Linked DNA regions of Anolis sagrei. The protein of the gene in region 3 interacts with the protein of the main gene of each other region in a pairwise test. Links are inferred from orthologs where the notes say so. Each region holds a gene or a part of one and is shown on either strand. Other genes may lie near its edges.

What was found. The genes of interacting proteins can lie anywhere in the genome.
Region 1: the proteins of CEP63 (region 3) and GSE1 interact in a two-hybrid assay, tested with the Homo sapiens proteins (2 studies listed by BioGRID and IntAct). The link is inferred for Anolis sagrei from reciprocal best matches to the Homo sapiens genes CEP63 and GSE1.
Region 2: the proteins of CEP63 (region 3) and PPP4R1 interact in a two-hybrid assay, tested with the Homo sapiens proteins (2 studies listed by BioGRID and IntAct). The link is inferred for Anolis sagrei from reciprocal best matches to the Homo sapiens genes CEP63 and PPP4R1.
Region 4: the proteins of CEP63 (region 3) and NDEL1 interact in a two-hybrid assay, tested with the Homo sapiens proteins (2 studies listed by BioGRID and IntAct). The link is inferred for Anolis sagrei from reciprocal best matches to the Homo sapiens genes CEP63 and NDEL1.

Annotation. Positions count from the first base shown.
Region 1 is NC_090028.1:25,201,320-25,208,476, reverse strand, and holds the start of GSE1 (genetic suppressor element 1), read left to right. Parts: upstream 1-4,155; 5' UTR 4,156-4,563; coding exon 4,564-6,651; intron 6,652-7,157.
Region 2 is NC_090024.1:64,871,021-64,878,381, forward strand, and holds the start of PPP4R1 (serine/threonine-protein phosphatase 4 regulatory subunit 1), read right to left. Parts: upstream 3,003-7,361; 5' UTR 2,775-3,002; coding exon 2,768-2,774; intron 2,667-2,767; exon of another isoform or gene 2,469-2,666; intron 2,330-2,468; coding exon 2,285-2,329; intron 1-2,284. UniProt on the Homo sapiens protein: Regulatory subunit of serine/threonine-protein phosphatase 4. May play a role in regulation of cell division in renal glomeruli. The PPP4C-PPP4R1 PP4 complex may play a role in dephosphorylation and regulation of HDAC3.
Region 3 is NC_090023.1:225,698,489-225,705,983, forward strand, and holds the start of CEP63 (centrosomal protein of 63 kDa), read right to left. Parts: upstream 3,003-7,495; 5' UTR 2,915-3,002; intron 2,901-2,914; exon of another isoform or gene 2,608-2,900; intron 1-2,607. Other genes in the region: ANAPC13 (anaphase-promoting complex subunit 13), read left to right, coding at 6,586-6,684, 7,229-7,354. UniProt on the Homo sapiens protein: Required for normal spindle assembly.
Region 4 is NC_090022.1:125,981,897-125,989,801, forward strand, and holds the start of NDEL1 (nuclear distribution protein nudE-like 1), read right to left. Parts: upstream 3,003-7,905; 5' UTR 2,814-3,002; intron 1-2,813. UniProt on the Homo sapiens protein: Required for organization of the cellular microtubule array and microtubule anchoring at the centrosome. May regulate microtubule organization at least in part by targeting the microtubule severing protein KATNA1 to the centrosome.

The DNA of each region.
Region 1 (7,157 bases), on a different chromosome or scaffold from region 3:
ATAGTTCACCTACAATGAAAGAGCATTCTGAACCCCACCAAGGATAGAATTGAACCAAACTTGGCACACAGAACTCCCATGACCAACAGAAAAACTGGAAGGGTGTGATGAGCATTGACCTTGAGTTTTGGAGTTGTAGTTCACCTATATCCAGAGAGCACTGTGGACTCAAACAATGATGGATCTGGACCAAACTTGGCATGGATACTCATTATGTCCAAATATATGCCACTGGTGGAGTTTGGGGGGAAACAGACATTGACATTTGGGAGTTGTAGTTATTGGGATTTATAGCTCAAGCAAAGAGCATTCAGAACTCCATCAATGATAAAATTAGGCCAAACTTCCCACACAGAACCCCCATGACCAACAGAAAATGCTGTGTTTTCTGATGGTCTTTGGTGACCCCTCTGACACCCCCTCGTGCCTCCTCCAGGGGTCCCGACCCCCAGGTTGAGAAACATTGTTCTACGGGTTTTACCAGCCTTTCCTCTCAATCCTGTTCTGCCCCGTATTATTTTCCCTTCCTCAGTGAGATCCTATGAGAAAAGACATGTCAATGGTATACTAAACGCTTTGCATAATGCATGGGCTCTCTCTCTCTCTCGCTATATGTGTGTGTGTGTGTGTGTATATATATAGATAGATAGATAGATAGATAGCAGATACATTGGGATTTTTCTGCAATTGAATGCAGAACATATTTGGCAAATTTGATAAAGTTTCTGTTCCTGGTTTGAAAGTTTTATTTCCTGTTCAAATGTGCTGGTACTTTATAATAATAGATAATAGTATTGTTAAAAAGAAGGAGGAAATCCACAGATTGGATGGTAATATAATTTTGTAACATTATAGCGTGGATACCGAACCTGTGGATACAGCAGGGCAACCATACAGTGAAGTTTTAAAACAATAATAATAATATTTTATTATTGTTATTATTTTGCAATATATTAAAGGTGTGGATAGTTGAACCGTGGATGCGGAATCTTTGGCTAGGGTAGCCTGAGTGTGCAGCAAAGTTTTGCAAAGTTTGATAATATTAATATTAATAGTATTTTGTTAAAAGGAAAGGGGGACCTTGCAGATAGGGTGGTAGTAATAATAATTTTGTAATATTTTCTATGTGTTGAAGCGTGGATACTGAACCTGTGGAGCCAGCAAATCAACTGTACAGTTAAGTTTAAAAACTGTAATAATAATATTTTATTATTATTGTTATTATGTTATAATAGTTTTAAGGTGTGGATATTTGAACCGTGGATGCGGAATCCTTGGGTAGGGTGGCCTGAGTGTAACAAAGTTTGATAATGATAGCAATAATAACTTTTATTATTGTTATTATTTTGTAATATTTTCAAGGTGTTATAATTTATCATTATTAATTATCAATTATTGTTAGTAATATTTTATTATATTATTGTATTATGTTTTATTATTATCAGTTATTAATATTTATGATTGTTTTTATTATTTTGTCATATTTTCAAAGTGTTATTATCATTACTATCAATTATTGTTAATATTTTATTATATTGTTGCATTATTATATTATTGTTGTATTATATTTATTATATTTTAATATTTTATTATGTTCAATTATTATTAATAATATTTTTATTATTGCTGTTATTATTTAGTAATATTTTCACGGTGTGGATAGTTGAACCGTGGATGTGGAATCCTTGGGTAGGGTTGCCTGAGTGTACAGCAAAGTTTTCCAAAGTTTGATAATAGCAAAACAACTATTTTTATTGTTATTATTTTGTAATATTTTCAAGGTGTTATCATTTATCATTATTATTATAAATGATGGTCAATAATAATATTTTATTATATTATTGTATTATTATATTTTTATTATGATCAATTATTGCTAATAATATTTTATTATATTGTTGTATTGTTATATTATTGTTGTATTATTTTTATTATTTTATTATGATAAATTATTATTATTAATATTTTTATTATTGCTGTTATTGTTTTGTAATATTTTCAAGGTGTGGATAGTTGAAGCGAGGATGCAGAATCCTTGGGTAGCGTGGCCCGAATGTCCAGGAAAGTTTTGCAAAGTTTGATAATAACAACAATAGTATTTTATGAAAAGGAAGGGAGGAGAGGGAACTTGCAGAGAGGGTGTTCTGAGTGTATAGCAAATATTTACAAAGTTTGATAACAATAATAATAATAACAATAATAATAATAATAATAATAGTATTTTGTGAAAAGGGAGGAGGGAGGGGAGGGAATCTGCAGAGAGGGTGGTCTGAATGTATAACAAAGTTTTGCAAAGTTTGATAATAATAATAATAATAATAATAATAATAATAGTATTTTGTGAAAAGGGAGGAGGGAGGGGAGGGAATCTGCAGAGAGGGTGGTCTGAATGTATAACAAAGTTTTGCAAAGTTTGATAATAATAATAATAATAATAATAATAATAGTATTTTGTGAAAAGGGAGGAGGGAGGGGAGGGAATCTGCAGAGAGGGTGGTCTGAATGTATAACAAAGTTTTGCAAAGTTTGATAATAATAATAATAATAATAGTATTTTGTGAAAAGGGAGGAGGGAGGGGAGGGAATCTGCAGAGAGGGTGGTCTGAATGTATAACAAAGTTTTGCAAAGTTTGATAATAATAATAATAATAATAATAATAATAGTATTTTGTGAAAAGGGAGGAGGGAGGGGAGGGAATCTGCAGAGAGGGTGGTCTGAATGTATAACAAAGTTTTGCAAAGTTTGATAATAATAATAATAATAATAATAATAATAGTATTTTGTGAAAAGGGAGGAGGGAGGGGAGGGAATCTGCAGAGAGGGTGGTCTGAATGTATAACAAAGTTTTGCAAAGTTTGATAATAATAATAATAATAATAGTATTTTGTGAAAAGGGAGGAGGGAGGGGAGGGAATCTGCAGAGAGGGTGGTCTGAATGTATAACAAAGTTTTGCAAAGTTTGATAATAATAATAATAATAATAATAATAATAATAATAATAGTATTTTGTGAAAAGGGAGGAGGGAGGGGAGGGCACCTGCAAAGAGGGTGGTCTGAGTGTATAGCAATTTTTTGCAAAGTTTGATAACAATAATAACAATAACAATAATAGTATTTTGTGAAAAGGGAGGAGGGAGGGGAGGGAACCTGCAGAGAGGGTGGTCTGAGTGTATAGCAAAGTTTTGCAAAGTTTGATAACAATAATAATAATAATAATAATAGTAGTATTTTGTGAAAAGGGAGGGAGGAGGGAGGGGGGGGAACCAGCAGAGAGGGTGGTCTGAGCGTATAAGCAAAGTTTTGCAAAATTTGATGATAATAATAATAATAATAATAATATTTTGTGAAAAGGGAGGAGGGAGGGGAGGGAATCTGCAGAGAGAGTGGTCTGAGTGTATAACAAAGTTTTACAAAGTTTGATGATAATAATAATAATAATAATAATAATAGTATTTTGTGAAAAGGGAGGAGGGAGGGGAGGGAACCTGCAGAGAGGGCGGTCTGAGTGTATAGCAAAGTTTTGCAAAGTTTGATAACAATAATAATAACAACAATAATAATAATAGTATTTTGTGAGAAGCAAGGGAGGAGGGGTGGGAACCTGCAGAGAGGGTGGTCTGAATGTATAACAAAGTTTTGCAAAGTTTGATAACAACAACAATAATAGTATTTTGTGAAAAGGAAGGGAGGAGGGAGGGGAGGGAACCTGCAGAGAGGGTGGTCTGAATGTATAGCAAATTTTTGCAAAGTTTGATAACAACAATAATAACAATAATAGTATTTTGTGAAAAGGAAGGGAGGAAGGAGGGGAGGGAACTGGCAGAGAGGGCGGTCTGAATGTATAACAAAGTTTTGAAAAGTTTGATAACAATAATAATAATAGTATTTTGTGAGAAGCAAGGGAGGAGGGAGGGGAGGGCACTGGCAGAGAGGGTGGTCTCAGTGTATAAGCAAAGTTTTGCAAAGTTTGCTGATAATAATAATAATAATAAAATAATAATAATAGTATTTTGTGAGTAGGAGGAGGTGGGGCGCAAGCTTGGGCGTGAAGCGAGCCTTGGACTGGATCCGAGTTGGGCGAGGAAAGGGCTGAACTTGTCCCGCCTGGAGCCCCCTCCCCAAAGACCCACCTCCTTCCTTCCTTCCTTCCCTCTTTCCCTCCCACTCACAAGCGAAGAACTTGGAGAGAGAGAGAGAAAGAGAAGCTGGAAGCAGAAGGACCCCTTCCTCCTCCTCCTCCTCCTCCTCCTCCTTCCAGAGAAGAGCCTTGGGGCGCCTACAGCAGCGCCCCTTTGCTGGGCCGGGGTCTGCAGGAGGGGACCCCCCCCCCCTTTGTTTTCTCTCCCCTCCCCTTCCTCCCTGCTTTGGAGGCGAAGAGCCCAAGCAAGCCTTGCACAAGCTCAGTGGAGTGAGGAGCAGAGAGGCAGGAGCCAGAGCAGCCCGCCCGGCGCCGGCAGAATGAGCCAGCGTGGGCTCAGTGCGGCATCTCTCCCCCTCCTTTGCTTCCTCCTCCTTTTCCTCTCTTCTCCTCCTCCTTCTTTCTGCCTTTCCTGGGGTCCGAGATGAGCCCCCCGGGCCCGGAGGAAGCTCCTCTCTCCCGCAAGCAGCGCCTGATGGCTGCGGTGGTGGAGGAGGAGGAAAGGCGAGAGGGAGGAAGAGCCAATGCCTTGGGGTCTTCTCCATCTCTTCCTTCACCTCCTTCTCTTCGAGGGTCTCCTGACTCTTGGCTGCGCTGCTTCGTCTGTGGCGGGGGGATCCGAAGAGGCCGAGAGCTCAAGCTGCAAGTCCAGGCTCCTCGTGGCTCTTCTTCCTCTTCCTCCTCTTCTTCCTCTCCTTTCTTCCCCTTTTTGCGGCACCAGGACCCTGCCCCGGGGGCCCAGGCGGTGAACAGCGAGGGCACGGCTCTGGTTTGTGCCGTGTGTCGCTGCTTCCTCACCGAGCAGTGGGACGCCTTCGAAAGGAGCCGGACCCCCGTCGAGAAGCGGCTCTATTGGCTCAAGAGGCCCCACCAAGGAGAAGCCGGGCCGCCCGGAGGACCCTCAGTGGGACCCCAAGACTGGGACTTCGAAGGCGGAGGAGCAGGCGAGGAAGAGGAAGAGGAAGAAGAAGAGGAGAAAGAGGCCCCTTTCCTGGACTCGGAGCTGTCCTCGCTTTCCGAGACCGAACCCCCTTGGGACGAGCCTTGGAGCCGAGAGAGGAAGGTGGGAGCACCCCAAGACGGGCTGGTCCCCAAGAAGGAGAGGAAGAGGCCGCAACCGCTCTTGGCGGGAGAGCGAGAGCTAAGCAAGCACACCTTTGCCAAGGGAGGAAGAGGAAGAGGAGAAGGAGGAAGCCAGGTGAGCAAGGCTTCCTTCCAAGAAGAGAGCCAAGAGGTCAACATCACGAGTGACAACGAGCACAAGGTCATGAATGGCTCCAGGCACCCACCATTGCCGTCTCTTTCTTCCTCGATGCAAGCGTTGTCCACGTCAGGGCCAAGCGAAGTGGCCTGCTATGTCTGTGGGACTCTCCTCCCACCGGGTGCCCGTCACCGGCTCCACGTCCAGAAGCAGGAGCAGGCCTCAGGGGCGCCTTTCTTCCCCTTCCTATGGCTCCACAGCCCCCCGCCAGGCGCCCTGCCCATCAGTCCCACCACCGGCACCACGGTCGCTTGTTCCGCCTGCGCCGCATCCTTGGCACAGCAGTGGCAGGGCTTCCAAGCGGCCGGCGTGCCCGTCCTGCAGCGCCTCTACGTGGTGCCCTTGGACCCGGCTGCCAAGCCCCGGGCGGCAACCCCACGGCGAGAGGCCTGCTATCTCTGCGGGGAGGAATATGCTGCCGAGGAGGGCCACCCTGTCCCAGCAAAGGTCCTCAACGGTGACGCCGAAGCCACCATGCACTTCCCCTTCCTCCGCCTCCTGCCCTGCCCACCCAACGCCAAGGGTCCCGACAAGCGCTGGGAGGTGCGCAGCTGCCCCAAGTGCTACGGCGTCCTGCGCGACCTGTGGGCCATGTACCGTGCCTCCCGCAATGAGGACTTCATCACCTCCGTCCAGAGCTTCCTGGGCAGGTATCACCGGGTCTTTGCAAGCATGGAGTCCGGGCACAATGCTGTCATCACATCCAGGCACTCTGTTTTGACCAAACAGGGCCCAGTGTCTATTTGTTACATTTGTGGGGCCGAATTAGGACCACCGCCGTTGGGTAAGGAGTGCCAGCTGAGTGTCAACCCTCCAGGCCGATTTGGCGAGAAGGAGCCCTTTTTCCCCTTCCTGACAGTGTACCCACCGGCACCTCGGGCCCGTCCGGCCGACTCTACGGGCACCGTGTCGGCCTGCGTGCTGTGCCACCATGACCTGCTGGGCCAGTGGATCCAGTACGAGAGCAGCCACGCACCGCACCCCAGCAGCCCCTGGTCCAGGCAGTACAAAGTGGAGGCCTTCGTCTGCTTCTTCTGCCGGCAAGAGAGGAAGCGGTGCCTGGGATTAAAAGCTGTGGAGGTTGCCCGCCTGCCTGTCTTCCTTTGCTCCTTCCGGGCACCTGGTAGTCTGCTGGTGGACGACGGTAAGCGGCTGACCATTGGAGCATGCCCAGAGTGTGCCGCTCTGGTGCTGGCGGGCAAAGCAGCTGTGCCCCAGGACCTTTGTGCAACACCGTCGTCTCTCCAAAAGGTAAGGTTCTCAATGGAATTGGAAAAGTGTCCTCCCTCTTGTGATGGCAACGTTGGACAGGGGACCTTTGGCCGGAAGCAGGTGCCAAGTGCCTGGTGCTTTCTAGCAAACCATTTGCCCCAAAGCCATTGACCTCTTAGTCAAAACAAGATGGGTCTGTGACATGGTGTGTGAGAGTGCCGAGAGTGCGGTTCTCTTGTGAAAAAGCAAACGTTGGCTTCTGGGAGGCCGACTGGCGCACAGGTGGTTCCCTCGCACAAGACCAGGAGCTGGGAGGAATGTGCCGCGCTGGGGCTGCTCCACTCCTGTTACTAAATCCTCCTGGAGATTAACTGTGTGTTGTTAGGGGTTTGGGGAAAACACTGCTTCCCAGCTCCAGTGTGCTGGGCTTTTCTCCCTGGGGCTGTTTTGGAGTCATGGGTGGTATCGGGTTTCCTCCTGACCTCACAGTACTAATTTGTGTAACGTGCAACACTTGGGCCTGTGTGTGCATGTGCCTCCGAGTC
Region 2 (7,361 bases), on a different chromosome or scaffold from region 3:
GGAAAACTCAAAGCAATGCAGTGATTCCGGCCAAAGCCTTCAAAAACAAATATAATAATAATAATAATAACCTTTCCTTATGCTATCCAAAACTACATTTTAAAAAACAACCGAGTTACCAGTCTTGTTTGTAACCCAGAGGCTGCCTGCACAGGACAATACCGTCCCTATTACATGACTGTTGCCACAAGCATCTTGCACAAAACTTGACCTAAATCTCACTCCTTAAGACTAGTAGCAGCCCTCACTGGCAGCACAACCGACCCATCAAACTCATGGCCTTTCCCATTTCCACTCAGGGAAATAAAAAGAAAATGAAAAGAGGCGGGGGGCATACAAAACAGTGAGAGGAAGAACTTTATAAATCAAGCCAGGCCTGTGCCTGAGTGAAGTTACCAGTCTTGTTTGTAACCCAGAGGCCGCCTGCACAGGACAACACCATCCCTATTACAGTAGAGTCTTGCTTATCCAACATAATCGGGCCGGCAGAATGTTGGATAAGCAAAAATGTTGCATAATAAGGAGGGATTAAGGAAAAACCTTTTAAAAATCATTTATGGTTTTACAAATTAAGCACCAAAACATCATGTTTTACAACAAATCGAAAGAAAAAGCAGTTCAATACATGGAAAAATTGAAAGCAAAAGCAGTTCAATACATGGTATTGTTATGTAGTAATTACTGGATTTACAAATTTAGCACCAAAACATTGCAATGTATTGAAACAGCTGTGGATCCGGGCGCAAGGCAGATTGCATTGGATAATACAGAACGCTGGATGAGCGAAGGTGGCAAAAGTATGATAGCTGTGACCCAATCCCGAGATAGGGCAGCGAGTGAGAGACGCAGGTGCGACAGAGTCATGGCAAGATAGTTTGCCAGAAAAAGGGGGGGACAGAAGGGGGGGGCAACAAACAGCCAAGCATAGTGCTTAAGGCTATCCGGATATCGTATGCAAACACATTCAAATACGTAACGTCTTCACTTCTCTAATTCTGACCCACATCACAAAACTAGCATTGGTCCCGGCTATCATACTTTTCCTAGTTGGATATACAAGACTCTACTAGGTGACAGTATGATAGCTGGGTCCAGAAGCTCCGAGCATTACACACATTCTGCAACGACTGTTGTGAATAAGGAAAGGGACCACGTGAGGGTAGAAGGACAGAAAGGAGGGGAGGGTTAGGATAAGTTTTAGGGAAATGTTTAGGGAAAGGTTTAGGGTTTGGATCAAGTTTAGGATAAGGTAGGGTAAGCTTTAGGGTTAGGATTAGGGGTTAGGCTTAGGATAAGGTAGGGTAAGGGTTTTCATTAGAGTTAGGATTAGGGGTTAGGCTTAGGATAAGGTTTAGGATAAGGTAGGGTAAGATTTAGTGTAAGCTTTAGGGTTAGGGTTTGTGGTTAGGCTTACGGTAAGGTTTAGGATAAGGTAGGGTAAGCTTTAGGGTTAGGGTTTGTGTTAGGGTTAGGATTTGGGGTTAGGCTTAGGGTAAGCTTTAGGATATGGTAGAGTAAGCTTTAGGATAAGCTTTAGGTTTAGGGTTTGTGTTAGAGTAAGGGTTAGAGGTTAGGCTTAGGGTAAGCTTTAGGATAAGGTAGGGTAAGCTTTAAGGGTTAGGGTTTGTGTTAGAGTAAGGGTTAGGGGTTAGGCTTAGGGTATGGTTTAGGATAAGGTAGGGTAAGCTTTGAGGTTAGTGTTTGTGTTAGGGTTAGGATTAGGGTAAGATTTAGGGTTTGGGTAAGGGTTTGGGTTTTACCATTAAAGAACTCTTACATTCCTTCTATAATATCGCGTTGTGCAAACAGCGCTTCTGAAGGAGTGAAGTGGAAACACTGTCACGCTCCTAGCTTCCGGACCCAGCTATCATACTATTACCTTCTATTGTACACAAGCATTTTGCACAAAACTTGACCTAAACCCCCTCCTTAAGACTAGCAGCAGCCCTTGCTGACAGCACAACCGACCCATCAAACTCATGGCTTTCCCCATTTCCTCTCAGCAGCCTTCAGGGGAATCAAAAAGCAAACGAATGGGAGGTGCGGGAAGGAAAGAAACATACAAAGAGGCGCGGGGGAGAACTTTATAAACCAAGCCAGGCCTGTGTTGGAGTGAAGGCGCTGCTTAAAAGCATGGCTGCTTCCTCCCACAATGCAACCCGGGCCTCCATCCTCCTGGGCAATGTCAAGACCTCTCTCTCTGTGTGTCTCTCTCTATTTCTCCCCGCCTTGGGAATGAGGAAAGGAGAGGAAAGGGAGGTGGTCGATAGAAGCCGGTACTCACATCCGTCTATCTCCTCCTGCAGGTCCTCCTGAAGCAGCGACAGATCTGGATTTGGGGGAGAGGGAAAGAGGAAGGGTGTTACATCAAAACAATACGGCAGGAATATAAGCTGCAGCTGAGGGAGGGAAGGGGCTTCCTTTCCCGGCCTCGCCCTCTTTGTCTCCGAGGGGCGTGAAGGCCTCACCTTTTCCTCGCGCTGAGGGGGAATCGAAGGGCGAGGCCTACCGTGGGCCAAGGCGTCCCACAAGCCCTTCCTTCCCTCCCTCCTTTGTACACTACATGTATGTGTGTGTCCCCCCGCAACCGTGTCCCCGACGCAGGCGCGGAGAGAAGGAAGGAAGGGAAGCAGGAAGAGAAGGAAGGAAGGAGGCACCCCTTCCTCAGGCCGGTCTCCTGTGAAGAGTAGACTTCCCTCTTTTCCTGGTGCTTCTTTTGAGGAAGGAAGGAGGGAGGGAAGGGGAGAGGGAGGCGCGCGCAACCTACCCGCCATGTTTCCTGAGGCCTCCCCGCTTGGGGTCGACCATGGAGGGGAGGCTGAGGCGGAGAGAGGCCTTCTAGGCCCAAGCGGTGCTTCCGGGCGTCCCCGGGAGAGTCTCCCGCGAAGGCAGGCGCCCGAGAGAGAGGGAGAGGCGGGCAGAGAGACAGGGAGGGAGGGGTTTGGGCCGGACACCAACGCCACCGCTGCTGCTGCCCCCGCCTTCGCCTCTGCCGGGGAGGGAACCAGGGCGAGCCCCGGCAGCCCGAAGGAAGAGAGGGAGGGACAGAGAGAGAGAGTAAAGAAAGGAAGGCAGGCCTCCGCGGGCCTCTCAAGGCCGGCTCTGCAGAGGACTAGAAGCAATACCTTGCCCCCGCTTGCCACGCCAGGCCTCCTTTTGCTCTGTTCTTTTCGCCACTGCTCTTTTGCCTGGCCCCGAAGTTTCCAAAAAGGAAGAGAATGACAGGTTGACATATCTTCAGCCTTCTTTGCCAAAGGGGTTCCTAAAACCATCAGAAATATATATTTTCTGATGGTCTTTGGAGACCCCTCTGAAACCTCCTTGCAACCCCTCCAGGCCTCCTTCCCAGCTCCTTCCCTGAATTCAGATTTTTACATTCCTCTTCTGGCTTTTGCTCTGTTCATTTCACCACTGCTCTTTTGCCTGGCCCCCAAGTCTCCTCCTGGCACCGATTTTCCTACTTTGGCTGTTTAGTTTCTTCCTCTGTTCAACTACTTGACTTATGTGTCAAACTCAATATTGAATCACTGGGTTGCTGTAGATTTTTTCGGGTTATATGGCCATGTTCTCGAGGCATTCTCTCCTGACGTTTCGCCTGTATCTATGGCAAGCATCCTCAGAGGTAGTGAGGTCTCTTGAAACTAGGAAAATGGGTTTATATATCTGTGGAATGACCAGAGTGGGACAAAGAACCCTTGTCTGCTGGAGCTAGGTGTGAATGTTACAACTGACCACCTTGATTAGCATTTGATGGCCTGGCAGTTTTTTGGTGTGGCTTGCTAGTGCCTGAGGGAATTTTTTTGTTCAGAGCAGAGGAGTGCTTTTGGTGGGAAGATTCACCATCTGTTTCCAAAAAGGAAGAGAAGGACAGGTTGACATATCTTCAGTCTTCTTTGCCAAAGGGGTTCCTAAAACCATCAGAAATATATATTTTCTGATGGTCTTTGGAGACCCCTCTGAAACCTCCTTGCAACCCCTCCAGGTCTCCTTCCCAGCTCCTGCCCTGAATTCAGATTTTTACATTCCTCTTCTGGCTTTTGCTCTGTTCATTTCACCACTTCTCTTTTGCCTGGCCCCGAAGTCTCCTCCTGGCACCGATTTTCCTACTTCGGTTGTTTAGTTTCTTCCTCTGTTCAACTATTTGACTTATGTGTCAAACTCAAGGTCGAATCACTGGATTGTTGTAGGTTTTTTCGGGCTATATGGCCATGTTCTGGAGGCATTCTCTCCTGATGTTTCGCCTGCATCTATGGCAAGCATCCTCAGAGGTAGTGAGGTTGAATCCTTTTCCCCTGCCCTGTCATTTTTATGCTTGGGCAGAACTGCAACTCCCATGTTCCTCATCAGGACTAGAACTGATGACCGTTGTAGTACAGTCACATCCAGTTTGTTCTGTTTGTTTATTTATTTATTTATTTACGGCGCTTATATGCCGCCCTTCTCACCCCGAAGGGGACTCAGAGCGGCTTACAATATATATTTTCATACAATATATTATATTATTAGCAAAGTACAATATCAGTATATATTACTATATTGCACTATACCATTATATTGTAATATTATTAGTAATATTACATGTAATTAAATATATAATTATAATTATAATATTGAATTATTATTACTAGTATTATATTGTATTACATTATAATATTATAAATATTATATATATATACAATATACTATATTATATTATTAGTAAAGACAAGATGGCAGTGTCTTCTGCTCCCCTCTGTCTTCTCTCTGGCCAGAGCAGTCATTGGTGCCAGAAGGGGGAGGGGCCTCTGAAGTGATGATATAGGCAGAAGACAAGATGGCAGTGTCTTCTGCTCCCCTCTGTCTTCTCTCTGGCCAGAGCAGTCGTTGGTGCCAGAAGGGGGAGGGGCCTCTGAAGTTTACTTAGGATAGGCAAAGGGAAAGGTTTCCCTTTGACATTAAGTCTAGTCAAGTCCAAATCTCTGGAGTGGTGCTCATCTCCATTTCGAAGCTGAAGAGCCGGCATTGTCTGTAGACACCTCCAAAGTCATGTGACCAGCATAACTGCATGGAGCACCGTTACCTTATTTATTTATTTACAGCTTTTATATTCCGCCCTTCTCACCCCGCAGGGGACTCAGGGCAGATTACAGTGTACACATATATGGCAAACATTCAATGCCAATTTTTTTACATACAATCATACACAGAGGCTATTTAACTTTTTCTCGCCGCCAGGGGAGCTGTCGCTTTCATCGTCCATCTGCGACGCTGATGAAGCACTTCCACATTCCCCGCATGCTTCACCGCAGGAATGCTTTGCTGGAGTCTTCTTTTTATGGCCTCATAAATCAGTTAATATTAGCTTCCCCACACTTTAAGGTGGTACCTAATTTTCCTACTTGACAGATGCAACTGTGTAGCCTGGTTGTAGTCCGGGTTGGAGTGGGTTTCCAACCATTGTGTAGCCTGTTGTTGACCTTTGCAACTTTTCGGGTTGCAAAGGTCAACAACAGGCTACACAATGGTTGGAAACCCACTCCAACCCGGACTGGCTTCGAACTCATGATCTTTTGGTCAGAGTGATCTTAATGCAGCTGACACTCAGCCAGCTGCACCACAATCCTGCGCCACAGAAGCGGTACTTACTGATGTACTCACCTTCGCATGTTTTCAAACTGCTAAGTTGGCAGATGCTGGGCCTGACAGCAGGAGCTCACCCACTCTCTGGATTTGAAACACCAAGCTTTCAGTCAGCAAGTTCAGCAGCTCAGTGGTTTAACCCACTGCGCCACCATAGTTGGAATAATGGGGATTTAATTTAAATCAGGCAAGGGCAAACTTCGGCCCTCCAGGTGTTTTGGACTTCAACTCCCACAAATTCCTAACAGCCGAAGTTTGCCCATGCCTGCTCTATAAGCTAGGTCGCATTACACCCACCCACCCCCAAGATGGATGGATGGTATCCTTGAAGTGACTGGCTTGACTCTGGAGGAGCTGGGGATGGAGACGGCCAACAGGGAGCTCTGGCTTGGGCTGGTCCATGAGGTCATGAAGAGTTGGAAGCGACTGAATGAATAAACAACAATTACATCCCCCCCCCCCCAACCGTGGGAGAAATAAGATTGAATACTGTGAAAGCTACCCACTTGCATGGCTATTAGCCTCCTCCCAGTAGACTCAAATCAAAGGAAAGTTTCTTGAGAACCACCACTCCTCTTGGCATCCCCGCAGCAACAGCAGGAGAATCCCTCTGGGCAACTAAACCAGGAAATCCCAACTGGATGGCCCCCATGAGGGTCTTCCTCCAGGGACAAACCAAGAATGGGGCAACTTGGAAGTCCCTGAACAGATTCAGAAGTGGTGTTGGGAGATCAGAAGACAACCTGGCAAAATGGCATGAATTAGAACAGTGGTTTTCAACTTGTGGGTCCCCAGATGTTTTGGCCTACAACTCCCAGAAATCCCAGCCAGTTTACCAGCTGTTTGGATTTCTGGGAGTTGAAAGCCAAAACATCTGGCGACCCACAGGTTGAGAACCACTGATCTAGAAGAATCGTCCACCTTGTGCTACTGTGGAGCAGAACAAACAACTCAGCATCTCTATGCTTGCCCACAATGCCCTGCCTCATGCACAGAGGAAGAACTGTTTAAAACCGTAGTTCCCAACCTTTTTTTCACCAGGGCCCACTTAGACCAGGGACCACTTTCCAACATCAATACCAAAAGGGTTATGATCAGTTTTTGGTCAACTTTAGATTCAGTTTGGTTATTTGGGGTGCTGATTCAGAAAATTGCATTGGATAGACCGCATTGTATCTAGTTTCTTATACCAAACAAATACCATCCAGTAGTTGCCATCTGCTCGCTCACAGAAAACCATATTTAATAATCTACAGCTGATGTGGTCGTAGTAATCTTTTGTGGGTAATCAGCCTCTCCCCTCCAGACATCCCCGTTGCCTTGGCACCATAAGAGGATTTCGTGAGACCAGTCACTCTCGCTGCGTGGTTCTGAGGCAACTGCGTAGTAATGTGAAGCCGCGGACCATATTCTCATTCACTGATGGTCCATAGACCACAGATTGGGAACTGCTGGTTTAAAGCTATAGACAATGCAGTTGCTGTTGCCTATTTTTGGTCTAAAATTACTTAGCTGCTTGTGTTCCCTCTGTTTTGGTGATTCTCAATCTGTGGGTCTCAGATGTTTTGGCTTTCAACTCCCAGAAATCCTAACAGCTGGTAAATTGGTTGGAGTTGTAAGCCAAAACACCTGGGGACCCGCAGGTTGCGAGCCACTCCTCTATTTTATCAGTTTTATACTTGTTTGTTTATGCAATACTTTTGACACAAAATAAACAAACCTTTTCCCCAACCTCAGAGCCA
Region 3 (7,495 bases):
GTAGCTCACATTTACGGTACAGCATATTAAAAACCAACAAACATTTTATTTACAAAGCACATGGAAATAAAAAAGATTCACTTGTCAGTTTGGTTTTCATTTCCCTTTTGTGTAGCTCTCAACATCTATCCGCCTCCAAAAAAAACCTCTTCAAAGCCACTGCATCCAAAGTTGGTTGGGCAATTAAAAAACCCCACTACTGTTTTTGGGGATCTCTAGAAGTGGCAGCTTTGTATTAATACCACCACACTATCGCAACAAACCCAGCACTGATTTCACATTACAATTCTCAGACCAAAATCAAGACTCCTGCCCATACTGACCAACCTGATCTAAGTCTTGATCATTTCATAACATGGATAGGTGCAGAAAAAATACATTTAAAAACCCACTGCACTGATTTCAATGGTAACATAAATGATCTGGGTCCTCCATGAATTAAGAAGTAGATATATGTAATATCATACCAGTGTTTATGTCAATATTCACACATTAACAGACAAATCATAGATTAATTACTATGATTCTGCATCCAATTCAAATACAGGCAGTCCCCGAGTTACAAACATCCGACTTACTAATGACTCATAGTTAAGGATGGGGGAGAGACAAGAGGAAATGAGAGAAATGTACCCCTTGGATTGGAAATTCACTCCTGAAAGAGTTATCATGGGGAAAAGGGCTCTCCACTGTTTTCACAACAAGCCAATTTTTTTTTAAAATCCAATTATCACAAAAAGTTTGGGGAGAACTGGATTGGGTATTCAATAATGCACTGAGTTGTGCATCATTGTATTCCGCAGACTGCAGCTTTTACTGTTGCCTACTGAATTTGCCCATTCCTCAATGGTGAGTTTTTCTCAACCTGTACAGTGCTCCTACTCTTAAGTGAATGTCATTTCCTGAATTCAAATCAATGTCATAAATAAATACACAACAGGTAGGTTTCAGATTAAATAAATAAGTGCTACTTAGCCCCAATTACTAATACAATGCATCACATCTACTTATTATTCCTTAATATCACCACAAAGTTCCTCCTATCTTTATACAGTTAGACCTTGAACACATAAAATACGCTGTACAAATCAATTCACAGTACATGAAGACATGTGCATGCTTCTGAAGAAATTATATAATATTATATTTTCATATGGACTAAATACAAAGTTAAGTCTACATTGCAATCACTAAATGTCTTTATTTGAAAAGTCGAATTGGCTTTTCTCCATATCTGGAGAGAACTGCAGAATAGTTTGATTCTAAGCATTTGTATTCAACTGTAGGTTTGTTTTATTTCAAAACCGACATATCATCAGGTAAGAATCCCTTCTCTGGAACTGGAATTCTGAAATACTCCAAAACCAAAACCTATTCACATGGGTGGCTGAGATACTGTGGCCTTTTGCCTTCTGGTGGTTTAATATACAAAGTTTGTTCTATTAAAAAAATTACTAAAAATACTGTACATAAAATCACCTTTGGGCCATGTGAATAAGGTGTGTACGAAATGTAAATTAATTTTATGTTTAGATTTGGGTTCCACCTGAAAGATGCCCCATTATGTGTATGCAAGTATCCTAAAATTCCAAACACTTCTGGGCCCAAGTACTTCAGATACGGGATATTCAACCCGTAGTACACAATCTGTTATTGCTCAAGCAGAGGGGGCCTGGTTAGTACTTCCTGAGAACTCATCAGCTTTTCGGGAATCCATAAATTCATTCCACATTGTCAAATCCTATCCATTCCAGTCATTGTTGTCCTTTGTCTATCTGCCAGATCACCCAAAGGCCTGGTCCCACGTCCATGTTTTTAGCTTCCTTCTAAAGGAGAGGAGGGATGTCGATGACCTAATTTCCCCAGGAAGTGAATTCCACTGGTGAGGGGCCACCACCGAGAAGGCCCTGCTCCTCGTCCCCACCAATCTCATTTGTGATAGAGGTGGAGCCGAGAGCAGGGCCTCCCCAGAAGATCTCAAACTTCAAAGCGGGACGTAGAAGGAGATGCATTCAGACAGATACGCTGGGCCGGAACCGTATAGGGTTTTGTAGGTCAAAACCAGCACTTTGAGTTATGTATTGTCGAAGGCTTTCATGGCTGGAATCACTCAGTTCTTGTGGGTTTTTTCGGGCTATATGGCCATGTTCTAGAGGCATTTCTCCTGACGTTTCGCCTGCATCTATGGCAAGCATCCTCAGAGGTGAGGTCTTTGAGTTATGCTCGGAACTGGATTGGCAGCCAGTGGAGCTGACATAACAGAGGGGTGGTATGCTCCCTGTATGACGCTCTGGGGAGTAATCTGTCTGCCGCCCACTGGACTAGTTGAAGTTTCCGAACAATATTCAAAGGCCACCCCACGTAGAGTGTGTTGCAGTAATCTATTCGGGATGTAACAAGAGCGTAGACCACTGTGGCCAGATCTGACTTCCCAAGTTTAGTGAGGCATCATCACTCTGTGGCAGATAAGGCCAAATACCTTGTCAAACTACAACTCCCAAGATTACACAGCATTGAGCCAGGCAGTTTAAAGTGGTATCCAACAGTATTAATTTGTCAGTGTGGTTGCATTTGTGTAACTAAACAACTGAATAAATGCAGACTTACCAAATTCCCACTGGTATATTTTGGGTTGCGGTTAACAATATGGATTTAGGCCTGGAAATAACCCTCTCTCCCCCTCCCTTTTGAAATAAGTTCAAAGTTGTCCTTGTGGTCAGTGAGATGAAAGACTGGAGCTCCCATTAGGAAGAGAGGAGGAGCTCATTGTGGGGCAATGGCTCCCTTTTTCATAGAGAGGGAAAGACGCAGGAGAGAGACACTCCAGAGCGAGGGAATGAAGATTCAAATTTCTCAGGAGGAGAGAGAGAGAGAGAGAGAGAGAAAAAAGAGTCTCTCAACACAAGTGCCTCACTTCCGTTCACGCTCTGGCAGACACCGGAAGCTGCAACCGACTCCTTCATCCGTTACGTGCGGTCTAAGAAGCCCCGTTGATAGTGTTTGGGGGCGGACTTGGAGCCCCGCCCCTTCGCCGCCGCTTCTGTCTCTCTGTGGTTACCGCCGCCTAGAGTGGCCGCCTGTGACGTCACGTCCTCTGTTCCTGAGGTTGAGAGGCCAGTGGTGTTGAGGCGCTTCAGGTGAGAGGGTGGGAAGTGCTTGCTCCACAAGTTACCTTTTCCTTCCTTTGAAAAATCCATAGGCAGGCAAGTGGCCACAAGTATCCACATAGGGAAGTCAGGATGCATTTACACAAGGCATGGGGAAACTTGGGCCCTCCAGGTGTTTTGGACTTCAACTCCCACAATTCCTAACAGCCTCAGGCCCCTTCCTTCGCTTAAGCTTCTGAGGGGGGAAAGGAAAGGGCCTGAGGCTGTTAGGAATTGTGGGAGTTGAAGTCCAAAACACCTGGAGGGCCCAAGTTTCCCTATGCCTTGTGTAAATGCAGCTTGACATCAATTAACTGTAATAGTTAAGTGCTCAGATGTACCAGTCCTATGTTTTCTATTTCTAATCATGCTACCCATGCTCTATTCTGCCTTGGTTAGACTACACCTGGAATAGTGTGTCCAATTCTGGGCACCACAATTCAAGAGAGATCTTGACAAGCTGGAATGTGTCCAGAGGAGGGCGACTAAAATGATCAAGGGTCTGGAGAACAAGCCCTATGAGGAGCAGCTTAAAGAGCTGGGCTTCTTTAGCCTGAAGACGAAAAGTCTGAGAGGAGACATGAAAGCCATGTATAAATACGTGAGAGGAAGTCATAGAGAGGAGGGAGAAAGCTTGTTTTCTGCTGCTCTGGAGACTAGGATGCGGAACAATGACTTCAAACTACAAGAAAGGAGATTCCATCTGAACATTAGGAAGAACTTCCTGACTGTGAGAGCCGTTCAGCAATGGAACTCTCTGCCCCGGAGTGTGGTGGAGGCTCCTTTAGAAGCTTTTAAACAGAGGCTGGATGACCAGTGAGATGAAACACAGTAGTTTATTGTAGATATGTAGATATTGACAAGCTGGAATGTGTCCAGAGGAGGGCGACTAAAATGATCAAGGGTCTGGAGAACAAGTCCTATGAGGAGTGGCTTAAAGAGCTGGGCATCTTTAGCCTGAAGACGAAAAGTCTGAGAGGAGACATGATAGCCATGTATAAATACGTGTGAGGAAGTCATAGGGAGAAGGGAGCAAGCTTGTTTTCTGCTGCTCTGGAGACTAGGACATGGAATTATGGCTTAAAACTACAAGAAAGGAGATTCCATCTGAACATCTCCAGCTCATCCCTTGTTTGGGTATCAGCCAGCACGTCAACGACTTAAATCAAGACATAGTTTTCTAAGATCTACAGACACTCGCTGGAACACCTCAGCAAGCGAGAGTCCAAAAGTGGCAGGCTCAAACCCAGAACCTCAATCAATGGCTGATACCAAATGAGAGACTCCCCCCTGGGCACACAGAAAACTGGGCGACTTGGTAGGCGCTGAACAGACTGTGTTCTGGCACCACAAGATGCAGAGTCAATCTTAAGAAATGGGGCTACAAAGTGGAATCCACGACATGCGAGTGTGGAGAAGAGTAAACCACAGACCACCTGCTGCAATGCAACCTGAGCCCCGCCACATGCACAATGGAGGACCTCCTTGCAGCAACACCAGAGGCAGTCCAAGTGGCCAGCTACTGGTCAAAGGACATTTAATCAGCTACCAAGCTTGCAAACTTTGTTTTGTCTGTTTGTTAAAAGTTTGTTAAAAATGTAATACAATTGTTTGGTTGATACTGACACGATAAATAAATAAGTAAATAAATCTGAACATTAGGAAGAACTTCCTGACTGTGAGAGCCATTCAGCAGTGGAACTCTCTGCCCCGGAGTCTGGTGGAGGCCCCTTCTTTGGAAGCTTTTAAACAGAGGTTGGATGACCAGTCGGGGGTGCTTTGAATGTAATATTCCTACTTCTTGGCAAGGGGGTTGCACTGGATGGCCCACGAGGTCTCTTCCAACTCTATGATTCTATGATTCTATTCCTTATGAGCCACCCTGTAAGGCTACTACTCAGTGGAATTATCTTATTGGTATCATTCTCGTAATAAATAGGGAGGGATCTGCGGGAATCAAAAATCTGTATTCACAAAAAGTTTTTGATACTGCCACCAAAGACCCTAAGTAAACTTACCACATATGGAACAACGGGGCAGACATCTTTATAGATGGTAACTCGTCGAAAAAATGGAAAGCATATAAAAATGGAGATGAAAGATAGTGTTGGTATTTCCCAGGAATCTATAATAAGCTTTTTCCATGTATGTTTCATTTACATAACCATGAGTTCCTATGAAGGAATGTATTTAGGAGAATCATAGAGTTGGAAAGACCGCATGGACCACCTAGTCTAAACTCTTGCCATGCAGGAAAAGCACAATCAAAATACCCCCAACAGATGACCATTCAGCCTCTGTTTAAGAGCCTCCAATGAAGAAGCTTCCACTACACTCCGAGGCAGAGAGTTCCACTGCTGAACAGCTCTTAACAGTCAGGAAATTCTTTTTAATGTTTATGTAAAATAACCTCTACTGTAATTTGAACCCACAGCTCCAAGTCCTATTCTCCAGGGCAGCAGAAAACAATCCTGCTCCCTCTTCCTTATAGCATCTTTTCAAATATTTAAATATGGTGATCATGTCTTCTCTCAGTCTTCACTTCTACATGAAGCCGCTGGAGGAGATAATTCAGAGTACAATGTTCTCCGAGCTCAATACAAAGTGCTGGTTTTGACCTATAAAGCCCTATACGGTTCTGGCCCAGCTTACTTGTCCGAACACATCTCCCTCTACGTCCCGCCTCTCAGTTTAAGATCATCCGGGGAGGCCCTGCTCTTGCTCCCGCCAACGTCACAAATATGTCTGGAGGGAACAAGAGACAGGGCCTTCTCGGCTGTGGCCCCCTATCAATGGAACTCGCTTCCCACTGAGGTAAGATCTGCTCCATCCCTCCTGTCATTTAGGAAGAAATGGAAGTTGTGGTTCTGGGACCAGGCTTTTGGACAACAGGCATAGATAGCACTTTGGACATGGAATTGGATATGGAATTGACTGGAACGATGTTACGGCTATTAATACTGTTTTTTACTGTTTTAATGAATGTTTTACTTATTGTTTTAATTGTTATTCTATTGCTGTGTTATATGTAGTGGCATTGAATTGCTGCCAGATGTAAGCTGTCCTGAGTTCCCCTTTGCGGGTTGAGAAGGAATGGGATAGAAATACCGGAAATAAATAAATAAATAAATTCACTTCTGAAGGCCCAGTTCATGGTCTCCAGACTTGATCATTTTAGTCACCCTCCTCTGGACACATTCCAGAAAGATAAACGACTAGTAAAACATTTATTTTTATTTTGTATCAAAAGCATTGCATAAATTAGTATAAAACTGATAAAAATAGGAGCACAAGAAGCTAAATATGTTTTGACCAAAAAAGGACAACAACAACAACAACGGCATTGTCTGTAGCCTCCAACACTTCTTCCTCTGTACATGAGGCAGTAAAACATCAATGCTATGCACCACAAATCTTATTCATTCTCTTTAAAGCAAAGATGGACAGTGAGGTACAGAGGGATGGGAGGATCCTAGATTTGATTGACGATGCATGGAGAGAAGATAAATTACCGTATGAAGATGTGGCAATCCCATTGGTAAGTAAATATTCCAGGTATGACTCTGAATTGATATTCCCCATCCTTTTTATTTACAACCATATATTTTACCATTCGTCCAAACCGCTCCCAGTGCTTATTGCAACAATAAGTTCTAATATTGTAAACCACCGTATTTCCCATGCTGTGAGAAAGGTGACATCGAAATTTCAAAGATAAATAATCTTTAAAAAAACTAAAAAACCTTAATAAATTAACCAAAACAAAACCGTAGTGGCAGTGCAGATGAATGAACGTGTGGATAGTTCATAAGTAGAGCCTAGATCTATTTCAGTTTCATTCCCAGATCGGCGCATTTTACTTCTCACTACATCTCATAAGAAATGCATAGTGGCTTTCAAGATTACTGTGTGTGTACATATAGAACTTTTGTCAGCAAGCCACTGCAGATGAATTCTAAGAATGTTTACTCAAAAGATTTTCTTTGTTTGTGATTATTTTGTTCTATGTGTTCCTATGTTCATCAGTGCAAAGATGTTTTTCTCAGCATTTTAAAACAGTTTTAATATATTTCTGCACCCAGAATGAGCTTCCTGAACCAGAGCAAGACAATGGTGGAACAACAGAATCAGTAAAAGAACAAGAAATGAAATGGTCTGACTTGGCTTTGCAATATCTTCATGAGAATATTCCTCCAACAGGAAACTAGTCTATTGTCAATGTCTCGTGCAGCAATTTCTCTGCAAATGTATTTCTTATTGTTCTTTTCAGCCTTCTTTGCTATGGAAGGAAGGTGTATGTGGAAAATGTCTAGGCTTAAATCACAAGAAATTATTGTCATAGGTCCTTT
Region 4 (7,905 bases), on a different chromosome or scaffold from region 3:
AATATTTCCAGTGACTCATGGGAACTCAGTACTCCGACATCATCAGTATATTTGTATATCTTAGCAACTGTTTGACAGCTGAACACCTTGGCTTTTCCTTTACCCAAGTTTAACAGGATAGTAATTAAGGCCCCTTCTACACTGCCATATAATCCAGACTATCAAAGCAGATAATTTGGATTTTACACGGCAATGCAGAAGGGGCCTAAGAGGCTTTAATTTTACAGCAAAATATCAAAATTAGTAAATAAGCTATTCTTGTTATTGAGATAATAATGATCCAATGTATATGATGTTTTACAAACAAACAAGAGAGGTCCCTTTCCAAGGAGACTGGAATCTGAAATGTGACACAGCAGAATGCTACAAAGAAAGATGCAAGTAAGACTGACAAAGGAAGAATATGTACAGTTGCACGTGACAGAAGCAATCACATTTGTAACAGTTTGTGAAAGTGCATCAAGGTCTAAGAGCAAAGACTGGTTCAGGGGAGGAAAACTGAAACCCTCAACCTACCCATGCTCCCTTACTGTAGATTTCTCCCCTATGTCTCTTAGGCTTCAATAATAGCAGTCAGAATGGAATGCAAACAGTGGAGAGACCATTCAATTCACCTTCCCTACATTTCCTCATGATATAAAATTATGAAGACACAATTTATACATATCAAATATAAAAACAAATCATGCTAATTTTTATCTTTTTGACTCAAACCAAGAGTGAGGGCATGAAACAATATATTTAATAGTGCACTACAGCATAATTCACAAAAAGTAAATATTCATAAGCTCTTTACAGTTGTGGCCAGCACTTTAACCTGATTTATGAAAGTTTTATGTGTGTGGGAGAGAACGGCAAATTACAGGGTCCAATAAAAAGGAATTCAGACTTCCCAGGATTTTACACAGAAGATGTGGGAAGAAGATCCTTATTCACACAACACATATTTAAACTCTAGAATTCACTAACAAAACCACCAATACTTATTAGTCATGATATTATATATTTCCAGTATTAGAAGTTGTATATTTTGTATGCCAATCATAGATAAGCACAAGTGTGAAGGGAGAGATATGACATGTTTTAGAATTTTTAATTTTAAAAAATTTATTGATTGATATTGTCCGTTGTTTATATTCAGTCAAAGTGTGCCTTGTTTTGATGATATATAATTCTATTTTATGTGTGGCACTTTAGTGCTTTGTTAGATATGCCGAGTCCCTTCAGGGAGATGGTGGCGGGGTACAAATAAATAATAATAATAATAATAATAATTGCTGATGCACTCATGTTCTGCTTGTGGGTTTTCAATTAGCATTTGTTTGGTCAACATGGGAACAGAAAGGAGATCTGATAGGCCTTTGGTCTATGTATAACCCTCAAAAGATTTGATACTGGCCTGAACTGACAAATAAGTTTTGTTTTAGGGAGTTGGGAAAGTTCAGCTACTGACCAGGGCACCCAGAACTTTATCATGATTTTACAATGAGGGAGGATGTTGCTCAACTACAAACGAGTTATCTCCAAAAAAATACACTTCTTACAGAATGGGAATCTGTCAGCTGTGACTTATTTGCTATTACTTCAGCCCCATTTAATGCAGTTTCAAACCAGAATTAAAGTATGCTGGTTTAGCTGTGCAGACGATTAAACAGGAAATTCTGGAACCAGTTTGCGGCCAGGATGGTGATGACAAACCACAGAGCATTGGTACATATGAAGGGGTTTTCTTTCATCCACTTCTGTGTCTGGCTGCCAGTCTGATGGTCAATGTAGATGGGGCCTTAGTTCTAGTAAATGACTCCCCAGCTCCTGCCTCCCAGGTGTTTCAGATTTCAGTTCCCAGAATGTCTGATTACTGGCCAAAGTATTTCACGCTTTTGGGAATTGGAATACAAATCACCTGGAGGCCTAGAGAGATGATTTCATCACACTAGAGAATGAATCCACTTTAAATCCGGTTTCTGCCTGCCACAGAATTCTGGGGTTTGTAGTTTAGTGAGGCTGTTAAAGGCTCCTCCCTAAACTACAGACCCCAGAATTCTGCAGAAGAAGAAACCGTATTTAATGTAGATTCATTCTCTAGTGTTATGAAGTACTTAGAGAATGGGTGTTCAGGTGGAAACCCCAGAACTTTAACGTGAGTCAAGCATGACCAAATAGAAAGACGTGGGGGAGGGAGATGTTGCCAGAGGCTCCCTCGACCCGGATGCTCTTCAGATGCTCCTAGTAGGCCCGGTCCTTCGAGAAAAGGCCAAGCGACTGGCCCCGGGGCGGGCGTTGAGCTGCGAAGAGCGGAAGGTGAAAGAGGGGAAGGAGTCGAGGCAGGCGGGTGCCCCTTTCGGCATAAAAGAGGGCCCAGGCCGGCGGGAGCTGGAAGAGGCAGGCGCCAGAATCGCGCGAGGCGGGTCCGAAGAGTCACGAGGCCACGCGGGCCTTGAAGGAGACGCCACGCGCGCGGCCCCCGCCTCCCAATTCGCCCCCCCCCCCACTCAGGGTGCGAGCGACACGCCAACGGTCACCTCGTGAACCCCCTCCCGGCTCCCTCAGGGGACACTCGCCACCGCCCTACTCCGTGAGTGACAGCGCTTCGAGCCAATCGCGGCGAGCCGTGCCGCTGGTTTCAACTAATAAGCGCCCGCTAAGGGGCGGAATCTGCCCCGTTGTCAATTAGCGGCCAATCGGGGAAGGAGGGAAACGGGAGCTTTTTCGGGAAGGGAGGGGGGCCCAGCCGGATTCGACAACACCGTGCCCTAGTACCCGGACATCCTCCCTGCCTCCCTCCCTGCCAGGCCCCGCCTGGTGCGCCTTACCAGCTGTCTCTCTCGCGGAACCTGCTGCTGCTGCTCCTCCTGCTACTACTGCCGCCTCCGCCGCATCCCCACACAGTCGCTGACACACTCCGAACCCAGCCTCATCCGGGGCAGCAGGCGTCAGTGATACGTCACAGAGGGAGGCGAGGCCCGGCACGAGAAAAGCTCAACGCCCTGGAGGGGCGGGGCCAAGAGAAAGGGGCGGGATCATGCAGATGAGGCGCCGCTGGCGGGAACCCGCGTCAGTTCTCGGTAGGCGGGGCCACAATGCTGCCTCGGCATTGTGAAATACGGAATGCAGGACCTGAACAGGCTTAATGCTATACCACCATGGGATTTGTAGTTATACAGGGCCTCTGTTGTTCTCTGCCAATGAGTGCTGGTCCCTTAAAAGGTAAAGGTTTTCCCTGACACTGTCCGATGGTGCTCATCTCCATTTCTAAGCCGAAAAGCTGGCGTTGTCCGTAGACGCCTCCAAGGTCATGTGGATGGAGCGCCGTTATCTTCCCGCAGAAACGGTCCCTCTTGATCTACTCACACTCGCATGCTTTCAAACTGCAAAGTTGGTAGAAGCTGGCGCTAACAGCGGGAACTCACCCCGCTCCCCGGATTCGAACCTGGTGCCTTACAAAACTACAAACCCCATTAACAAAGTCCTATTGATAATACTGGAGAACTTGTGTGTGTTTTATACATGCCACCATCGTTATGAAGGTATACACGGGATTATGCTTTAAACGGAGAGAAAAGATGTTTGACAGCTGTCAAAATTTTCACACGGCCCCCTCCCACATAGCTGAATAAAATCCCACATGATCTGCTTTGAACTGGAATTAATAGTGTGGACTCAGAAAACCCAGTTTAAAGCAGATACTGTGGGATTTTCTGCCTTGATCTTCTGGGTAATCTGGCTGTCTGGAAGGGCCCTTAGATCGTAGTGTTAGGACATGCCAAAAACTGTTTAATGTGGTGACATAAAGTGTTGATTTCTTCAAGTTTGTCATGTGATGAATGTTCTAGGAAAACAGGGTCAGGGTAGGATTTGATACCAGCTGAAAACATAAATTATCCTGTTTCTACCACAGGAGAAATAAACAAGGGCCTTCCACACAGCCCTATATCCCAGAATATCAAGGCAGAAAATCCCACATTATCTGAGTGTGGACTCAGGTAACCCAGATCAAAGAAGATATTGTGGGATTTTCTGCCTTGTTATTCTGGGATATAGGGCTATGTAGAAGGGCCCTTGGTTTCATACTGGTTCCCCCCTCCAGCCCAAAGCTACATAAAATGGCATGCAAGTCTGAGTATTCTCTCCACAGACAGGCTTTCTGGGGAAGAGACTGTATCAGAGTAGATCAGTAACCTTGGCAGGATGTGGTATGGTTTAGGCTAAGATGTTTACAACTGTACGTCATCTTCACAGGAAGTGAGCAGGAAGTTAAAACAGGAAGGAAGAGACGAAACAGACAGAATTGTTTCATAAGTATGCCAGTCTGACTGTCTCCAAAAATTACTCATGATAAAAATTCTTCTAAATCTTTTAAACAATAGTATGTTTATCACAAATATTGTTCCAAGCAAGATAGGTTTTTCTGTGTTAGTTTCAGCACATACTTTCTTATGTAGTTCTTTTTTTGCAATTTCCTTTTGGCTTCATTTCTGTACTTCCTGTTGCATTGTTTATTTGTCCAGTGACCTCTAATCTATCTTCTACCTCAGGACCTGTAACTCTTTCCTGAATTATCTGAACTTCACCTTGTCTGCTCTCATACATTACCTTTTGTCTCTTTGTTACTCACCTCAATCCCATTTCCTTTCTTATCTTATGTAAATTTCGCTAGCAACATTCTGTGGTTTGGCTTTAGTCACATGCTTTCTTAACATTTTACATCTTTAGCTCTTTTAATATGGTCTTATATGTACATAAGAGTTTAGGTTGAGACTAATATAGTTGCACTTGAGTCTCATTATATACAGTGTGAAAAGGCAGGTGTGACTTTAGACTACTGAGATATAGTTGCACTTAATGAATCTGAAACCCACCCAATATGCCAATTAGGCAAACTTCATTTTTCATTTGATTCATATGCAAAATGTAATCTAATCAGTGCTAGTTAATTCAGATTCCCCAGTTTTGTTTGATTTCAAGCTGGTACACTGCTAATCCCGATTAACATCATTTTACAAAATTCCTTCTAATGCTCTTGGGACATTTTTGGGGTGTTACTCTTTTTTCTCTACAGTATCAACAAAGATTTCTAATTATTGTCAGAGTTCATGTGTGTATTCAGTTCAATCAGAATAATTAGTGGAAGCTGGAATGATCCAGACAAAACTAAACATAGTGGACTAAATCTAATTGCTAGCCCCAACTAGGGTATCCCTATAGAATCAATGAAACTGACCTATGCATATGTGCTATTACATCACCTCTCAACTTGTGACCCCATTAATTTTATATGGTTTTCTTAGACAAGGAATACGTAGAGGTGACTTTGCCAGTTCCATCCTCTGAAATATAAACTACAGGACCTCATATTCTTTGGTGGTCACCCATTCAATTACTAACTGGGACTGATCCTTCTTAGCTTCCAAGATCAGATAGGCTTTGGTGCCTTTAGGATATTTAGGCCATGGGTTGACATACTATTCAGCAATTGGTTTTGTGAATCTGCTCTATCTGGATTTAGGCTTTTTATTCCCACTGGTTTGAACATGAGTGTTAAGTACACGGAAATCTACAGAGAAATGTTTTTAAGAAACACCTTATATTGTTGCACAATCTATTAATTCATAAAGGTTCAGCTGTAATTAATTAAGTTTTGACCAGAGGACAGTGTCCCATTCAAAGTCAACAGGTGGCATTTTAACCATTTAGATAGCAATGGCCCAAAGGATGAACAACAACTTTCTTGACAGTACCTACTTATAGTTAGAGCTACAGTTATCTTGTTTTCAAGCAGTCTCTGTACTAAATACTACCCAATCGCTGATCTGTGTGACTGGTAATTTCCTTAGGATTCACATAGGGAAATTGACTCTTCAGACATTTCAGACTAATGTATTCCTCATTATCCCTGAACATTTTTCATGCTGTCTGAGGCTAATGGGAGTTAGAGTTCAATAGCAACTGGGAGGGATAGGTTTCCCACCCCTGCCTGTACCAAAGAACTATGAATATCTGAAATGAGTGTTGCCAAAGGGACAGAGGTAGATTGCTCATCGTGTGGTAATGATCACAGCAGCATTCTTGGATGCTTCTCCGCACATTGCTGCACTTAAATTCCTATACTTAACTGTTCAGCCTGCCAGAATGCTGCTTGAGACTGTGACCCTGTAACCTTCTCTTCCCTGAGTGCAATTGTAGCTCAGCTGTATCTGAGGGAGCAGTGGACCAATGGCATGTGTCTATTCCCTTCACTTCCCCTGCATTCGCTGCTGCACCTGACACATGGCAACATCCCCTCCAAATTTGTCTTTGTCCATTGCTGACGGGGCTTTCATGGAATTAACAAAGAGACAGTGTTGGGGCCCCTGTTTCCAAACTTGCATTATAGGGGTTGCCTGTCTGGTTAACACTGATTTAAAGTTGATGTTTGTTTTCAATGGACTTTTTAAAAAAAAATCTTTTGCTTGCACCCTGTTGTAATCTGCACATGTTCCCAGGCATTCTTGATGGGCCTGGAGTCCTTAGACTCACAAAGGCACAGTCGCTTAGCATTAATTCTTCCCTGTGCTTAGCAGCCATTGGTCTCCTTTAGCTGCGGTGGGGCTGGGCTTCCCAGGCAAAACCAAGTCATCCATTGAAAAGCAAAGGGATAAAAGAGACATAATAGATTCTATTGAAGTGAGATTTGTCTCATGGGGTTGGAGGTGGGGTGATGGGGGTGTGGAGGAGCCTGAGAGCAGAGACTAAGGAGTGTCTCATGAAATTCGGGGTCAGGAAGTCTCCCAAGGCTTTTGCTCTCTCTGTTTTGATCACATGAGAATGCACATGGGGTGGGCATTTTATCTGAAGGAGCAAGTCTGGGAAGATAAACAACCTTTCACAACCTGCTAGCACTGTTGTGAATGCAATCTATTCAACAGTATATACACTGGCTCTGTGCAACACCTGTTTTTCTTTTGGTGTGCCCACTACCTCAATCTGAATTTGTAATCTTTGCTGTTGGAATGTTAAAATCCCAGTGTTGAGGCATTTTGATTCAGGTGTGTTGCCTGAATGAAATCACATGGCTATGTATGATGACAAAAAATAATGTCTAGGTTGTAAACAGTTACCTGTTTTGATGAGCTTAGAAAGTTACTTTCTTTGGACTACAGTGGTCACACTGACTGAGAGTTCCTGGAGGTTATAGTCCCAAATAACCTTTCTAAGTCAAAAGGTATGACAGCAATTCTGATGGGAATGCTTGAACAAATAAATCACCTCTGGCAATAATTAATAAAGGTGGAATCTAGAACTATGTCTGTCCAGTCTTCCATGCCCCTTTTTCAAATAGACTGTGCTAAAGTTCCAAACAAGCAATGGAGATCATAGACACATCATCTCCTTGTGATCTTAAGGTGGGATGGCACATCTTGCCATTTTGAGGCATTGCCACCCTGTTCAGACCACAGGCCGCCCTAGCTGTGATGCTGTAGTATGATTATCATTGTCTGAGATCAGAGGTAGAAGATACGATTTATTAATCCTTATGTGACCGATGTTATTTCTCATATTGTCTAAGGAGCCACAAGATTCCTTTACATCAAAATCAGAAACTTCAAGTTTTGCTTTTGGCAAGTCAATTTTTTTGACATAAAGTACCTATAATGGGTCCCTAGTAGCCAAGATGACTAAACTGTTTCTGTTGTATTTGGCCATGTCATGAGACAAAATTACTCACTTGAAAAGTCAATAATGCTTGGTAAGGTGAAGGGCAGCAGGAAAACAGGAGGAACACATTCAAGATGGATAGACTCAAAAAAGGAAACAATGGCTCTGAGTTGGCAAGACTTAAAATGTGTTGTTGATGATAGGTTGCTTTGGAAGTCTGTCATTCATGGGGTCAAAGTTTAAAGCATTTAACAGCAAGATATGTACAGG